Drosophila melanogaster: one gene and its partner. Changing the gene in region 1 together with any one later gene gives a genetic interaction. Each region holds a gene or a part of one and is shown on either strand. Other genes may lie near its edges. The genes, in order: Ras64B and Zdhhc8.

Region 1 (4,549 bases):
CCGGTGTCCAGCGGGACATCTGGTAGGTGCTTTCTGTGGTGCGCTCCTTGCGCGGCACCGAGTACTGCTTCTTGCGCGAATCTGCAATGACATTGATGCCCAAGCAACTAAGGTTACGCACCATATCCTGATCCTTCGGCGACAGCTGGGCATGCGTAAACAGCTTGGTCAGGTTCTCCTCGGAAATTCCGTTCTTGATCATGACGTACAGGGCAATGATGCGAACCTTGTCGTAGTTCGAGACATTGGCGTCCAGCAAGATGGGCACAATGTTGCGCATATGATCCTTGATCTTTTCGCCCTCGGCGTCCGTGCCCATGGCCAGATCCTGTTCCACGCGGCACAGCTTGTCCACGTAGTTCTGGTACGACTTCATGCAGTCCTCGGCCAAATGCAAGTGGGTGGAGTACTTGGACAGCTCCTTCTGGTACTGCGGCATCTTCTTGATCATCTGCGAGAGATCGCGCATCGACGACTTGTCAGCCGAGCCCATGCGCTTAGAGTCGGTGAATTTCTTAAGGTTCTGAGTCACCTGGGTGGAGACCACAGCGATATGCTCGTGACGCAGCTCCACCCACAAGTCGTCGTTCTCGTCGAGCAGCACCTCCTTATCCGGCTGGTTGGGGCCGGGCGTGTAGCGATACACGTCATTGACGATGGGTAGCAAATCGTAGGCCATGGCCTGCAGGGTGAGCTCGTGCAGCAGCGGCGACACGCAGTCGAAGCCGCGATCCAGGATCAGCAGCTGGGATCGTGCCTTCTCGGGGCCCTCGCCCATGGTGGCATCGTCGGCCTTGTAGGCGTCCAGCTTCTGCTGCACCGACGCGGCCAAATCGATGTTCCTGTCCCAGTCGCTGCGGTAGCGCACATTTGGGTACTCCCCAAGGGTAGCGCACAGTGTGGCTATTTGCTCGGCAATTCGCTCGATGTGCTTGCTCCGAATGGAGGCAAAGGCCGGCGAGTAGAGGCATTGGAATGTGTCCGGCGAGTCCAGCGAGAACACCTGGCATTCGTATGGCAAAAATGCAATGTTGATCTCCTTCAGCGTCTTGATCTTTCCGGCCGCGCACGACTTGCACAGATCGTTGAATAGCTCCTCGGGACAAACTTCGGTGAAGAAGACATGGGCATAGCGATACATGGGCCGCGCTGGGTTCTCGAAGTCTCGTATCAGACCGCGCACTGACTCATCCGACGGCGTAATCAGATAGATCGCGTCCATCGTGGGCAGCGGCTCGCGCTTCTTGTTGATGTCCTCAACCAGGGTGATGCCCTCGGCGCTGATTTCGTGCATCTTGGTGCAGGCGGACACCATGCGCATACCCAGCTTGTCCACCACCAGCACCCGCCATTCCATGCCGCCCGCCCCCGCAGCGGACGTAACGCCCTGCTTTTTGGGTGGTGGAGGCTTGTACTTCACCACCTCGTTCATCAGCTTTTGGCCCACCAGCACTTTCAAGGCCATTTTCACTGCGTTTTATTGGTCACGGGCGCAAAGGCAACTCGATTATGAACACACTGCGTGTAAATATGTCTTTTTAGCTTATTCCGTTCGCTTTTTCGCGTGGGCTAACTTGACTTAAAGAATTTTATCTATTCCTTGGCCAATTTTTCTGTATTTTTTTCGTTTGATGACTTAGCCTTAGTGATGGGCGAAAGTCGATTGCTGGCTAGCGATAGTTGATATCGATATTACTGTCTAGCAGAGACGCGCACCCGTCTCAGTGCGAGTGTGGATTTCTCAGTTAACCGAGAACGGTCACGCTGCTGCTGTCGAGGAAGGAAAATAAAATAATTTTGCTGGCCAACTGGTCGATTTAAACGGGGAAATGCAGATGCAAACGTACAAACTGGTGGTCGTCGGCGGCGGCGGCGTGGGCAAGTCAGCGATAACGATACAGTTCATCCAGGTAAGCCGCCCAGCATCGGCCCAATCCCTGGTGACGTCGCTTTCCACAGGGGCGTTTGAATGTGGGAGTGGGGGGCGATGGCGCACAGGGGCGGTGGCAGGGGGACGGCCCTTGTTTTGGCCAGAGCAACAAACAAGCAACAAGCGACTGTGATGTGCGTCTGTGTTTGGACATGCGTGTGCATAGTTTCGGGCCGAGATCATCACCAACACAATCATCATCATCATCATCATTGGCAGCATCATCATCGCGGTGGCCACACCCCCGTGTGTATCTCCAATTGGGGATCAAGTGGTCAGAGCCCAGAACCAGGGAGTTGCGTTAGACGCAGCCCCCAGTTTTCTGGGTGTGCCGATCGATTCCCCGAGAGTTTGTGCCATGGTCACGACCACAATGACCGCCCGCTTCCATTTATTTTTAGTCATTTGCGTCATCTGCACATCTTTCGTGTATATGCTGTAGCTTTTCCCCAAGATATATAGAGCATAGTGGATAGTGAATGATAAAAGTGACGTGTGTAAACAAATCAAAGGCGGAATGATAAACGCACCCCGCCCACATAAAAAACCCAGTCTTATAATGTTTATATATGTAGTTTTGTGGCCTCGGCAGCTGGCGGTACAATAATTTTAATCCTAATCTTGCAGAGCTACTTCGTCACGGACTACGATCCCACCATTGAAGACTCGTACACGAAGCAGTGCAACATCGACGATGTGCCAGCCAAATTGGACAGTAAGCTTCCTTTCTTTACCCTTACCAGATTCATAATAACCTGATATTTTACCTAGTTTTGGACACGGCTGGCCAGGAGGAGTTCAGTGCCATGCGGGAGCAGTACATGCGCTCCGGCGAGGGATTCCTGCTCGTCTTCGCGCTCAACGATCATTCCAGCTTCGATGAGATCCCCAAGTTCCAGCGCCAGATACTGCGCGTCAAGGATCGCGACGAGTTCCCCATGCTGATGGTGGGTAACAAGTGCGACCTGAAGCACCAGCAGCAGGTGTCCCTGGAGGAGGCGCAGAACACCAGCCGCAACCTGATGATCCCCTACATCGAGTGCAGTGCCAAACTGAGGGTCAACGTCGATCAGGCCTTCCACGAGCTCGTGAGGATCGTGCGCAAGTTCCAGATCGCCGAGCGTCCCTTCATCGAGCAGGATTACAAGAAGAAGGGCAAGAGGAAGTGCTGCCTGATGTAGAAGGAACTAAATGGAAGAGAATCTCCTGAATGCCGCAGCGGAAGCAGGAGCCAACATATAATGATTATAACACCAAATTTTTTGAAAAACACGCGTCGACTGAGCTTTGAATTCCGTTGAGAAGACGATAAACCAGTAACCCGAAACCAGTAACCGCACAAAACGTGTCAACGAGCCCAAACGAAGTGCATTTCTTACCTGCCCAGGTGCATGGCGCATTCAACGAACGAATCGAATAAACTTCGCCACTCTCAAATAGCTACGAAGAATCTTACAACTGACAACTAACAATGCAAAATGCAAACAGAAACACGAAACATAGGTAGATATATACAACAGATTCACACGAATAACTTATATATACATATATATTTCTACATATATTTTTGTAATATTATTTTGTTGATCAACGACAACAATTAAGGACGAATGTTTTCATGATTATTACCAATCGTGGCTCGCAGGCCATTTGTTTTTATAATGCAATAACTAAGCCCAGAACGTTTGTTTCGATTAAGCCAAAACGTAATAATGTGTTATTGTAATTTGTATTGTTATTTACTACTAATATATACGTATACATATATTAACTGCTTACAAACCGATTTTGTTGTAACAAATTGAGTGCCTCGTTCTCGCGCGTAGAAATCTAAAACATCAAACTCTGTATTACACCCACGGCATTTTTGTACTATACCCGCAGCTGCCAGGCGCGCACAACTCACTTAACGATACTTTTGTACATGTCCCCAGTCGGATCCGGATCCTATGGTTTATTGTTCGCCAAATGTATTGCAACAGTTGCTTTAGCCGCAATCTTGTTTTAACTCTTATACACTGCTTAATTTAACGAACTTATTTAATGGTATATAAATAAATATATAATTAAATTTAAAATTAAACATATGCGCAATTCTAATAAACACATGGAGAATCACAAACGCTTCCACATAGAAGATTGTTTCAATGACGCTCTCGACTGGAATTGAAAATTCCGACCCAATCCAAGCAATTATAGAAAGAATCCTTGCTAGTGCTGTGTTAATTACTTACCAGCTGTCTTCCCTTCGAGCTCAATGGGTATAAAAGCGGGCTGAATCGAAGTGGACCAGCATAGAACTCAGAATGAATCCCAAGAGCGAAGTCCTCATTGCAGCCGTGCTCTTCATGCTGCTGGCCTGCGTCCAGTGTCAAGTGAGTGAATTCATATCCCGCTGCAGGATATCCCTTTCTGATGTCTCATTTTATTTTCCTCTATATAGTTGACCTTCTCGCCGGATTGGGGCAAGCGTTCGGTGGGCGGAGCTGGTCCTGGAACCTTTTTCGAGACACAGCAGGGCAACTGCAAGACCTCCAACGAAATGCTGCTCGAGATCTTCCGCTTCGTGCAATCTCAGGCACAGCTCTTTCTGGACTGCAAGCACCGCGAGTAGATAGC
Region 2 (5,286 bases), on another chromosome or scaffold:
AAACGCTTCGATTTCAAGTCTGTTGCATTCACTGAATGCGTAGAAAAGCGTTTACAAGCGAAATTTACAAGGAAAATCAACTTATGAACGAGTACATCAATTGTTTTCAAGCCAGTTTTATAGTGAACAAAAAAAAGTAGCCTTTATGTTAGTACGCTAAGTTATAAACTAGTTGTTGTCAAAACGTCTAGAAATCGAAAGTCAAAAAACTTTACACGGTTTACAACATTCAGACTGGCTGTTTTGTATCTTAAGCAGCTATTACAAAATTACATATCCATTCTACGTTCGTACTCAAATCGATTCGCATGTCTTTCTAATAAATAAGTTGTCACATTTGATCTTAATGCTATGGACCTATGACCTATCGACCATCAGCTACCCCCGCTTTGATGACAAATAAATGAGGCTTATGGCGGGACAGTCTGACAGCCGTAAAGAAACTGCTAGTGTAAGGGAAGTGCTTAAGTCTTGGGCTGAGGCAGATACTCTCTCGTCGTCCGGTGCTGTCGGTGCTAACCTAACTTAACTAGGGCTCTTAGTTAGTTGCTGCTGCTGCTGTAGACGCTGTGCCTGCGAATGTTTGGCTAGTCGCTCGTCTTCAATCGCTTCACGGGTCCATCGCTGCCCTGCGAGTTCGAGTCCTCAGAGAAGGGCATACTCGACACGAAGTCGGCGCCCTGGCTGTCGGACACGACGGAGAAACCTGTGTACAGATAGAGATCGCATGAATAAGACAGAGTAAACATGTGCTTTGGAGTGATAAATTGTGCTGAATAGGAAATACGCTTTGAAGCCAAAAACCAAATGTAAACAATATCGCTAATGCAAAGACAGCAATTTTTATAGCAGCTCCGCAAGCTTATGAGACTAATGGCACCTCGTAAAGGTCCTAAAATCCATATACTGCATCCTGTTTTTTTGTTTTGGCTCCTAACGCAGTGCTTGCAGACATAGAACCCAACTACTTATTTAAAGAGAACCAGCACATAGCCATCCTTACAGGTGTTAGAGTCCTCGGCGGTTAGTCCCTGGTAGCTGGGCGTGATCTGCGGCGGCGTGGGCGTGCCCTTCTGAGAGTTCTCCTTATCGCTCTTGCTGCCGCCGACCGGCGTAACGCCCGAGCCGGGGGGCGGTCTCCGGACAGCAGCCGATCCCGGCGAGGACTCCAGCTTGGCCTTCTTCTCACTGGCGGAGGCGATGGGCACCCATTTGTAGATTTTCATGGTGGTGTCGCTGATGGTCACCCACTTCTTCTCCCAGTGGCGCACCTTGTCCACCGCCTGCATCACCCGCTTGATGTCATCCTTCGCCCGGCTGCGCGTCTCCGCCCGCACGCTGCGCGACATGTCTGTGGGTCGATGGCGCCTGGTCTGGCTCTTCCTGCTTTAATCGCTTTTCCTCCTTAGCCAAAGTCGGCGTCACACGAAAAGCCGCTAAGTGTTTTCGCTACTTCTGGCTGCTTCACAACTGAACTCTCCCCGTCTGGCTTTTAAGTGGGATCGTGTCTCGTGATTTTGGCTGGTCTCGACCAGTTAACCAGTGGATAGTTCAGTTTTTTTGGCAATTCGCAAAAATATTTTTTAATACAACAAAAATAAGTAATCGATAGCAAGCGTGATTTTCAACTGATGTTATCGAATGATTGCCCGTTGTTTTCACGGGCTGCAGTGTGACCATTGGCTAAAGGTCCGTGCTAAAGTGTGATAGCTTATTAATTCGTGTATGATTTGTAACTCAAGTGCTTAATTTTTGAGCTGAGCTAAATTATTAGCCGTTTGTTTTTGAACAGCTACAACCGTTAAATTTTTAAATAATAATTTTGAACTGTTAGTCCAACGGTTTCTATTATCTGGCAACGCCAATGTTGCCAAATGGTATAATCTAGTATATTTTCGTGTACCATCGTGAGAGTGATGGGCGAAATATCGATGCGCGATGAGTATCGATTTGTCGATTCTTTATCATCGACAACATATCGATATCACAATGCTACGATGTCACTTCGATGGCTCGATGGTTTTTCGATGTTTTTCCACCGACCGACGAAATTATGCGTACGCTCCGCTTATTTTTTATTTATTTTTTCGTAATGCGAACCGAACGTTCGCCGCCCATTAGAATGGAATGAAAAGTCGCACAAAGCCGGGAAAAGTGAAGTTATTTACGCGAATTGAAACTCGCAGTGCGTGCGAGCGAGAGCGATAATTAAGATGAAAATGCAGGCGACGCCGAAATAAAAAACAAAAAAAACGTTGCAGCAACAACGTGCGTGTGCGAATGTATGTGTGTGCGTGCGTGAATGTGTGTGTCTGCTGGTATATGTGAAGAGCCAGGCGAACGAGCAAGAGGGTGATAGGAGGACGAGGAAGAGAAGAAGAAGAAGCAGCGGTGGAAAAGAGAACGAAGAAAAGTGGGGAAAGACGAAAAAGGCAAAACGACAAACGCACACGAAATTGAAAATAGTTGTACGAAAATCAGGAGAAAGCCAGCGATCTTATTTTTTTCTTAAATTTTCCCCCTGGATAATTGATATTAGAAATGTGTGCGTAAGCTAACACCGATACTAACACCAATGCAAACGCAAGGCTAGAATCGCTCCTCGCCCGAAAGAGAAAAAGAGAGAGAGAGAGAAACGCAAACAAATTGGAATAAATTATAGAAATTTAAAATAAAGTAAACAACTCAAATGGCAGGAATTTAAACAAAAGTAAACAAGGGGAACGAGCGATATAAATTAGTTCAACATTTCGGAATTTAAGTTAGAGGAATCTATGTTAGTGTGATATTTTATTTCATTCTATGTTGTCATTTGATAAGTTAAACATTTTACTTAAATGTGCAGCAATATGCTAATTAGCACTAAACATTTTATTTTATTCAATCATAAGTATTCATTTTTTTAAGTGAGATTCTTGGGACTCAGCAGTAAATATAATACGAATTGATAGCGAATGTATGAAATGCGAGTGTAATGTGTCATTTGAAATTGTGATTTTTTTTTCAAGTGAAAGTTAAGTGAAATATTTTTCTTGAGTGTACCTAATCAGTTTCATTTATAAATTTATTTCTGCAATTTCCCCAAAACAGCAGCCGCTTCAAAAGCCAGAACTTTGAAAAGTCGAAGCTGAATTTTCCCCGAGTTTTCCCGATTTTCCGTTTCCCGCGAATCTGAAAGCCGCGCTGCCGGCGTCGCTGTCTCTGCCGCCGTCGACGTCGTCGATCCCGTTTCACGCGTCGCCGCTTCGTCTCGCCGTCTCGCTTGTTTCCCGCCCCCTCTCTCTCTGCCCCTCGCCCGACCCCGCCACCCGACCCTCCTACCAAAAGTACCCCCCCCCCCCAACCAAAAAAAAAAATAAAATCATCCTTAAACAAAATATAAAAGATACGAAATAAAACAACAAACACACAGAGAGAGAGAGCGAGTGAGATAGATAGATTGAGAGAAAGCCAAGTCAAGAAACGTCATCAAGCGGCAGCAGCAACAACAACAACAGCAGCAAGCACAACAACTGCAACTGCAACCAAAACGGCAACCTCATCAGCGACAGCAGCAACAAAAACAAAACGCATTTCATTGCCAAGAAGAAAAAAACGGTCAACGACACTGCAACAACATTGGCCAACAGCAACAACAACAAATCAGCAATACTGAGAGACTGCACTAGCAACAACAACAACTGAAACAACAACCAACAAATAGGAAAATAGGAAAATGCCCAAATGCGATGTGAAAACGCGCTACATTCCTGCGACTTTCGCCTGGATTGTGCTGCTTCTGACCACATTTCTCTTCTTCTTCTATCCGTAAGTAGCCATTTTAATGATAAAATAATTATAAGTTAATATAACATTCAACAGTTTAGTTCAGAAACCTTAAAAAAATGACCAAATACCTTTGAGTTTCTTTCGACTGAATTTCATTTCCATTGTCACAAAAGTAGTGCAATCTGCGAGTGGGTGCTATATATCACTAAATATATATGGTTAGTTTGCGGTGGCTTCGCGAGAAGTTCATGAATATTGAATGTGCCTTAGGCGGTATTCACTGTTGCCACACACGCGTACTTTCCTCTCTCTAGACCCCCCCCCCCCCCCCCACCCTCGTGGAGCGGCGTAATCAAAGACGACCCTTCGGCCTTCGTCTGCCAGCCAAAACCATAGAAAACCAGCCCAGCCACCCACTCAGCTTTCCACCCACCACCCACCATTGGCCCCACCCACATTATTTTCTTAGTAGCTTGCAGTTTTGTTGCTGGCACTTTATTTATTTTGCTCGCATTTTCGTGGATTATAACGACGAGCCGTAATGCATTATTATATGTGGGACAGCAGCTTTGTTGTTATCCAGTCTGGCCCCATTTACCACACCGCCCCCCCCCCCCCTAATTTTCCTTGTCTTAGTCATCTCTCAGTGGCCATTTTACTGCCCCACCGCCGGCATCTCCACCTCACACCGCCCCCGCCCCCCCACACTTGGCACTCAATTTGCAGTTTGCTCTGTGCGGTTTTTTCGCTCCTTTTTGCATTTTGCTGGTTTTTTTTTTTGCGCAAATTGTTTTCGTGTATTTTGGTCGTAAAAAGAATTTCAGTTTTCAAAATGCCGGGGGAAAAATGGATGAAAAAAAAATATGATGATGATGCACGTGGCTCGAGGGTCTGGCAGATTTTCCGTCTATGCCAGGAATACATATGTCACGGTAATTAGATGAAAAACTAGCATATGTTCAATATTTCATATTTCAAAAATATATTTCATGGAGCTAATGCAGCTTTTCCAAAAAACAAAAAAAACATGATAAGATTTGCTGTTTTCGTAATTAATTTGCGGTTTTATCTGAGCACATTATATTACTGCATTATTTATATAATAACATTATTATTAAAATCGTGAAACCTCCGCATGGTATAAACATTTTTTGCTTGTTTTTTTTTTTTTTTTTTTTTGAGACAACTAGAAGGCCAAGGGAGCAACAAATTTGCATAGCATGTGCACAATTAGCACATGAAACGAAACCAAAATAGCAATTAAGCAGTCTGTTTGAGACCCCCGAATGCCTCCCCACTGTCCGCAGACAGTTTTTCCCCATTTAAGCACACAGTTTTCCATAGGTTTTCCCTAGTTTGCCCGCTTCAAGCTTTTCCTAATGACGAGTTCTTGTGGTCAATTGCAGTTGCAATTGCAGCGCTTGGCATTTTCCCCGTTTTTCATCAAATTGCAAACCGTTTTTCCAACATCACCTGAGGACAATTTTGTTCTACTTTATCGTCACCTGGCTTCTATAT

Evidence for each region.
Region 2: of Ras64B (region 1) and Zdhhc8, changing one enhances a phenotype caused by changing the other (phenotypic enhancement), as found in Drosophila melanogaster (one study listed by BioGRID).

What each region holds. Positions count from the first base shown.
Region 1 is NT_037436.4:4,137,350-4,141,898, forward strand, and holds Ras64B (Ras oncogene at 64B), read left to right. Parts: upstream 1-1,726; 5' UTR 1,727-1,829; coding exon 1,830-1,910; intron 1,911-2,557; coding exon 2,558-2,645; intron 2,646-2,701; coding exon 2,702-3,111; 3' UTR 3,112-4,049; downstream 4,050-4,549. Other genes in the region: Rop (Ras opposite), read right to left, coding at 1-1,465; Akh (adipokinetic hormone), read left to right, coding at 4,237-4,305, 4,374-4,544. UniProt on the Drosophila melanogaster protein: May be involved in endocytic processes and/or other transport pathways mediated by vesicle trafficking. May interact functionally with ROP protein. Ras proteins bind GDP/GTP and possess intrinsic GTPase activity.
Region 2 is NC_004354.4:9,352,983-9,358,268, reverse strand, and holds the start of Zdhhc8 (zinc finger DHHC-type containing 8), read left to right. Parts: upstream 1-2,041; 5' UTR 2,042-2,154; exon of another isoform or gene 2,155-2,282; intron 2,283-3,090; 5' UTR 3,091-3,715; coding exon 3,716-3,807; intron 3,808-5,286. Other genes in the region: BCL7-like, read right to left, coding at 588-706, 1,004-1,349. UniProt on the Drosophila melanogaster protein: Palmitoyltransferase that catalyzes the addition of palmitate onto various protein substrates and therefore functions in several unrelated biological processes. Regulates tissue growth possibly by regulating Ras64B protein stability.